2 linked regions of the Cricetulus griseus genome follow. The protein of the gene in region 1 interacts with the protein of each later gene in a pairwise test. Links are inferred from orthologs where the notes say so. Each region holds a gene or a part of one and is shown on either strand. Other genes may lie near its edges.

Region 1 (3,820 bases):
AAGATAACCGAGTGTTGCATGTGGTGTCCGGCACACTACATGATCCTGGGGCAAAGGGCGAAGGTAAAACTAGAATCAGGAGTTATTTCGCAGCCATTCATCTGTTCTAGGTTAAAAGTGAAACAACCAGCCGGGCGTTGGTGGCGCCTGCCTTTAATCCCAGCATTTGGGAGGCAGAGGCAGGCGGATCTCTGTGAGTTTGAGGCCAGCCTGGTCTCCAGAGCGAGCGCCAGGATAGGCTCCAAAGCTACACAGAGAAACCCTGTCTCGAAAAACCAAAAAAAAAAAAAAAAAAAAAAAAAGTGAAACAACCAGGAGAGTTTATTTGAGTTTTGCTTGCATTAACAGTGAGTAGCCACATGCAGACCTCAGTGTGTGTGTGCAGCTCCTCAGGCCTGTCTCTGCTTCCACCCTGCTGTGTCTCCCTTTCACACAGTTCTTCCAGGCCACAGTCCCCTGCTGTCTTCAGTGTAGATGACATAGGACCTGTTAGAGAGTCTGTGGGGGAGAGAATGAGCCACGGGTGTTCTGTCTGAAAACTGCCCACTGTTCTCCTAGAGGGCATATGTTTATAACACACTGGCAGTTTTACAGCCTGAGTTTTAGGTTTTCATTTATGTTAGGATCATGGGCCTTTTCCTTTGTATTCAGTAAGATCAGGTGGTCCTTCAGCAACCTGCCCTTCCAGACACAGCTCAGTCTTGCGAAAGGAAACACTGCTGTTTTCCTGTGGTGGAAGCTTACATATTCTTTAACTGTACATTCTTTCTTTCCACAAATATGTACTGGACATCTGTTCTTGGTCAGGCTCCTTCCTAGAAGCTGAGAACAAGAAAGAACCCTGCAAATAAACTCTTGCCTTTGTACAAACCCTTCTCCAGCTGGAGCAGGCCCGGGTATACAGATCAGCCAGGACGGGGCAGATGGTGTGAGTAAACACTTCTGGAGAAATGAAGTGGAGAAGAGGACTCAGTGAGTTGGGAGAGTGGCCATTCCAAAGGGGATAGTCCACGAAACCTCTCTGGAGGTGGTGTTTGAGTGGAGAGTGGGCGAGTATGCTGTGCAGACTTCTGGAGTGCGAGCATTGAGAAAGGGGGCAAATGCAGGGCCTTGGGGGAACTCTGCTCATCCCCCCTGCCCCCATCATTTTTTTAAGATTTTTATTTATTTATTTATCTATTTATTTATTTATTTATTTATTTTGTATACAACATTCTGCTTTCATGTGTATCTGCACACCAGAAGAGGGTACCAGATCTCATAATGGATGGTTGTGAGCCACCATGTGGTTGCTGGGAATTGAACTCAGGACCTCTGGAAGAGCAGCTGGCGCTCTTAACCTCTGAGCCATCTCTCTAGCCCCCGCCCCCATCAATTTTTATTTACGTGAGGCAGTTGTCTGTGCAGGTCTAAGTGATTACCATGTGTGCGCAGTGCCTGTGGAAGCCAGAAGAGGGCGCTATATCCCTAGAACGGGAGTTAAGAATTGTGAGTCACCACGTTTATGAACCTGGGACCTGAACCTGGGTCCTCTGCAAAAGCAACAAATTCTCCTAAGCAACTCATGTGACATACATTAAATAGGTCTTTGGCCCTATGAGTTGTTGATAACAAGTTTCTACATTTCATTTGTTTTCTAGAATTTATTCCAAGTGGGACAACACCAGCCTCTCAAAAACTTTAAAAAAAATAGCAACAAAAATCTGAGGCTAGATAGATGGCTCAGTGGTTAAAGCACTTGGTGCTCTTGTAGGGACTGGGATTTGGTTCCCTGCACCCACACCAGGCAACTCACAACCACTTGTAACTCCAGCTTCAGGGGATTGAACCCCCAGCTCCATGGGCACCTGTACTCACCCATGCACACAGGTATGCACATAATCTTAAAAATATGGCCCTCTGTCCATCCATCCATCCATCCATCCATCCATCCATCCATCCATCCCCTCCTTTCTCGTTGTGTTGGGAATAACCCCACAGTCTGGTACATGCTCAGCAGACACCTTACAGCCAAGGCCCTTCTGCAGCCCAAGGTATGATTTGTAATGGACTCTTCTGAATTTTCCCATTGGAAAGGCTCAACAGACTTATTTTATGAAATCATATCATTATTTGAGGAAGGGTTTCTCACTGGAATCTAGAGATCACTGATGAAGCTTCAGGTCCTGTCTCATCTCCCCAATGCTGGGGTCACAAACTTGTGTCACCACGCCTGGCTTTTTTATGGCTTCTTATGCTTGCATGGCAAGCACTTGACCAACTAAGCTGCTTCTGTAGCTCTAGAAAGTGAGGTTTTTATCTCTTTAAAAAGAACAGAACGATGGGTAAAAGGGATGAGAGAAAGTCCAGTCAGAACCCTCCAGTCCTGACTTGTATGTGGAGTGTCTCCTGCATGCAAGTGTACATGCAGTATTTCTCCACGCTCACTTCTCCTGCCCAAACTGTCTGCCATACACAGGTGTTACTTTGCTTGCTGCCCACAGCAGTGACCCTTCTGAAACTCTCTTTGCCCCGTGTCCTTCTCCCCTCCAAGGTCATCCCAGCCTGGGTCCTTGGAAGAGCAACTGAGAACTGTCCCTGGGCCTGCCCTCTCTCCACTGCACACCCTTGGAGCCCCGAGGCAGGGACCCCTCAAGAGCTGGCTGTAGGTACAGGAGAGTAGCTTCTCTCTTGTCAGCAAAGATGCACAACTCAGAAGAGGCTTCTGGTTGAAATCTGCGTAGCAGTGTCCCATTCTGTCTTCTGCAGTGTTAAGTGTCCCAACTTGAATATTTACTGTCAGTTTTCTAGGTACCTAACCATTATAAAATGGATTGAAGCCAGGCTTGGTGGAACACACCTTTAATCCCAGGGAGCAGAAGGCAGAGGCAGCCTGCCTGGGCTACAGAGTGGGACATATGTAAGAACCAGCGTTTGGATCAGCATCAATTGTTTATTTCATTTAAAATAGCATATAATGGATTTCTCCTCCCATCAGGCTAGTGGTAACAGCTTTCCCAGGGAAAAAGAAGATGTGACAATCCAGGACATTGTGGACTTTTCTGATGTTTACCACTCTAATGAAGAGTATTTCAGGAAACTAAGAGAGCTAAAGGCCGCCCATGCAGAAACCATGGCAAAATTAGAGAAAATGTACCAGGACAAGCTAAATATAAAAGACGTCTGGCCAGTGATCACCAGGGAAGATTATTCTAGTGTCTCCTCTAGGTAAGTTTGTGCTCGGTGTCATCTGAGGACTGACCTAAGATAAATATTTAAACTAAGTATGAAACAAAATATCCTGGAGTATTTGCTTCTAAATATCAGGTCCTCAGCAACAGTGAGAGCCTGTCTAACATACATTTGGGGTTTGATCTCCAGCATGGTTTGGAAACAAAATTGAACTTAAGGATGACACTCTTGCTGAAAATGCTTTCCTGCCTCCCACCAAAAACTGAGCATGACCTCCTGTTTCTGAGACGCTGGAGTGTCATGTCTTTGGGTGTCAGATCTCAGGCAGGCCTGGCACACAGGAGATAGACAGACTAGGTCCTTCCTAGTATTAATGATATATAGAGGTGGGATTTTATTCAAAATGTTTAATGGCTTATCAGTTTATTAAGTTACCTCTTGCTTTGAGGGTCATTTAGTGGCCATCTGTTTGCTTGTTTGTTTTTATTGTAATTTAATGTGTTTTTCCTGCATGTTTGTCTGCACCACATGTGTGCCTGGTGCCCATGGAGACTTGTGAGCTGTCATGTGGGTGCTGGGAATTGAACCCAGGTCCTCTAGAAGAGCAGCCAGTGCTCTTAACTGCTGAGCCATCTCTCCTGCTCCTTCA
Region 2 (3,820 bases), on another chromosome or scaffold:
GCTCCCAGAGGTCTCTGATGCCTGACCCATCTTTAAGGCAGATCTAGTCTCCAAAACCCTCGAGGTGACTAGAGCCACTCTACAAATGGTATACAAAGGGAGGCATCATGAACTAGAGACAGGAAGAAGGAAATGCAGCCTTAAAAACTTCAGAGGTCACAGGAAACTGACTTTGAACTCTGATAACTCGGATAAACTATGTGAGCTTTCCATTTGGTGGCTTGCTTTGCACTTTAAAAGACAAATTTGGTCAGCATGGATGTACATGCCTTTAATCCCAGTACTAGGGAGGCAGAGGCAGGAGGATCTCTGTGAGTTCATGACCAGCCTGGCTTACCGAGTGAGTTCTAGGATAGCAGAGAGTACACACAGAAACCCTGATTTGAAAAAAGCAAACACACACACAACACAAAAAGAAGACAGAAATTCCAAAACTATAAAAGGACTCAGATAAAGTAACATCTATTCTCAAAAACTAGCTGGGATTTGAAAAATGTGCAAACTAAAATACTTTACCTTCAGGCACTCCCATTTACTTATAAGTAATTTCATGGCAGGTGGTTTATATTCTTTCCCAGTATGTTTGATGTGTATTTGAACAGATTGTTTTAAATGCCTGTAAATGCAGAGTGTCGGTGACTGCTTCCTGCCCATCTTACAGGTTTTCTGCCACCACTTTGAAGTACACATGGGTCAAATGATTTCTAAGGTGACCTAGGTGAGGATCCCAATCATGCTTTTCTATGTACATTTACATTTTATTTTAGTTTTTTGGGATAAAGTTTCACACTCTAATCCACGATGGCCTTGACCTCACACTGTAATCCTCCTGCCTCAGCCCACTGAGCCCCGGGAATACAAGGCATGAGCCAGCACACCAGGCTGGGATACTGCTCTTTACAGAAAATCTAGATGATGTTGGGTAATGCTTAGTTCCACTGGCTCAGAGAACAGTGAACTACCACCACTGATGTGAGGATGAATTTGATTTTTCTGCTCATGTTAATGTGTCTAAGAAATGGCATCATGCTGGAAGACTTTCTTGAGGGGAAAACCATTCTGGGCTAAAAGCAATGAAATTGTGTGCAAATCACATTTAACTTTCCCAAAGAAAGATTATGTCCTCCTCCTTCATTTAAGGCAATAGCATAAATGTTTCTTTCCCTATGTGCATTATTACCTAAAAAAAAAAAAATACTGAATTCTGGGATATTTCTGTACTGAAATATTGTTCTTTATTCTCATGGATTTTTTTTTCACTTTAGGATATTGAAAAAACCTATGAAATTGTGTGTCAGGAAGGTTCCAACTTAAACCCAGATCTAGGCGAGCTGGTGGTCATTCCTTTGTATCCCAAAGAGAAATGCAACCTGTTCAGGCCAGCGGATGAAACCGAGAAGAGATGCCAAGTATACCAGAGAAGGGTGGTGCTGACCACCAGCAGCGGGGAATCTCTGATCTGGAGCCACACGGTCAAATTTGTTATCGACGTTGGTTTGGAAAGAAGACAGGTAATTACAGTCCTACCAGCCATCACCAGAACCCACTGGCTGGCTTCCTGCTACACCAGTGTCCAGAAAATGACAGTACATAGTGACCCAGGGCTTGCTTTATTTGGTCACATGTGCACAGAGTGGTTGTAACCATCCGATAAAGCCTTGGCTATATCTCTTTAGCATATTGGTAGTCTGGAAGGAAATTAATTGAGGTACAGAGGTTTGAGGAAAGACCAAATGTTTGATAAAGGTGTTGGTTCCTGTCTACCTGCCTGCCCATCTCCTTCCTTTCCTTCTTCCTTTTAACTGGAAATTAAACCCAGGGCCTCCCATATGCTAGCCCAGTGCCCAACCCCTTGTGTCTTTAGGTAAACCTACTAGCATAGCACAATATTCGGCTTCTGAAGCTTCTCTGGTACATCATGTCTGGTTATCTGTTTTTCAGCATAATTAGCATATTACTTCAGGGAAATTAGTTTCAAGTCAGTTGTCTAACTTTTGCAAATACTGGATAATTAGACAAAATTTTTTAAATCTAAATATTTTAGAAAATGAATTCTTTCCAGGCATAGTAGCAGTGGCACGTGCCTTTAGTCCTAGCACTTGGGAGGCAGAGGCAGGCAAGTATCTTGTGAGTTCCAGGACAGCCAGGACTGTTACACAGAGAAACCCTGTCTCAGAAATAGATAGATAGATAGATAGATAGATAGATAGATAGATAGATAGATAGATAGATTATTAAAGCTGAATGGTGGTGCCGCACACCTTTAGTCCCAGCACTCTGGAGGCAGAGGCAGGTGGATCTCTGTGAGTTTGAGACCAGCCTGTTCTACAGAGTGAGTTCCAAGACAGCCAGGACTACACAGAGAAATCCTGTCTCAAATCAAACAAACAAATAAATAATTTAAAGATAAATAAATTATAAATGAAATAACCTCATACAAAATATTTTTATCATTCCCTTTAAATAAAAAAAATGAAGGTATGGTTTCTTAAACTCTGAAGACACTAGAACAACAACAACAACAACAACAAGCTTTTGAAACAGAGAGGAAACTACCAGATTTTATCCCTTGAGGAAACTCTATACTTCCTGAATATCCTTGTTTTACTGTGACACCATGGTGTCCCCATGGTTATGAAGGTTCCCTTGAAACAAGTTGGGGCAGTCTCTTTTGAGACAGGGTCTTGCCATGTAGCCTGGCTGGCCTTGAACTTAAGATTCTCTGTCTCAGCCTTCGAGTGCTGGGATCTTAGTCACACACCACCACACCCGCCTTATTGGAGTCAGTCTTCAGTTACTGCATCATTCATAGAACACAGGCTGTCACTTGCCCTTTTAAGCTACATGCAAGAGTAGCTATTAGTTCTGTGTGGCATTTGTAGTAGGTGCACCACCCAGAAAATCCCAGTATGTGTCATAAGTGGGCCCACTGTGCTAACATTGAGTCTGAACAAAACATCTAAGCATTATAGCCCTGTTGAATGGAAACCCTTTCTTTTATGTGACATTGTGGGGTGGGTATCCCCACACCAGCATGAGGCTCTAGAAGTGGCAGCTCAGTACTGTGGCAGGTGACACTGAGGTCTCCAGTAGTTCCAGAAGTGTTGTGGAAGCAGGCAGCTTATAGATCCATTTGTCAAGGCAGTTTCCATCTCATGGTGTGCAGTAGACACCAAGCAAAGGAGAAGAGCCTGACAGCGCTTCTGTGGTGGCATGCTGGGGGCAGTCACCTTGGAGAGAGGCGGGTGGCTGCACCTGAATTTCCAGGAGGTAACATGCTGTGTTTCTGTTAAAGGTATACAACCCCCGAATCAGAGCCAACTCCCTCGTCCTTCAGCCCATCAGCCAAAGCCAAGCTGAGACCCGCAAGCAGCTTCTTGGGTCTTCTCCCTCAGGTAGTGTGGTAGGCACAATAGCAAGCAGTGGGAAGTCCTTCAGGGGTATGTGTCACAGCAACACTGAAACCATCTCCCTTGACTTCTTTTAGGAAAACTTTTCTGTCTGTACACTGAAGAATTTGCCTCCAAAGACATGAGGCCCCTTAAGCCAGCAGAAATGCAGGAAGCCAACCTGACCAGCATGGTGCTCTTCATGAAGAGGGTGGACATCGCTGGCTTGGGCCGCTGCGACTTCATGAACAGGCCAGGTAGCTTTACACTCGGGCTTTCTTATTCCTGCCGCTTCTTCCTTCTGTGGCACCAGAGCGCACATAGCACCTGTCAGTGTAAGCCAGCATGAGGTTTGTTCAGTGTTGATACCTTCTCACCATCATAGGCAGAAATTCTCTAAAGAAAACTTAAAAGAACAACAACCTAGTGTG

Evidence for each region.
Region 2: the proteins of Fam161a (region 1) and Dhx32 interact in binary tests that used the Homo sapiens proteins (3 or more experiments, as listed by UniProt). The two-hybrid records come from large-scale screens. The link is inferred for Cricetulus griseus from reciprocal best matches to the Homo sapiens genes FAM161A and DHX32.

The regions. Positions count from the first base shown.
Region 1 is NW_023276807.1:83,748,167-83,751,986, reverse strand, and holds part of Fam161a (protein FAM161A), read left to right. Parts: intron 1-2,782; exon of another isoform or gene 2,783-2,899; intron 2,900-2,977; coding exon 2,978-3,207; intron 3,208-3,820. UniProt on the Homo sapiens protein: Involved in ciliogenesis.
Region 2 is NC_048596.1:67,131,817-67,135,636, forward strand, and holds part of Dhx32 (putative pre-mRNA-splicing factor ATP-dependent RNA helicase DHX32), read left to right. Parts: intron 1-1,265; coding exon 1,266-1,511; intron 1,512-3,295; coding exon 3,296-3,395; intron 3,396-3,487; coding exon 3,488-3,646; intron 3,647-3,820.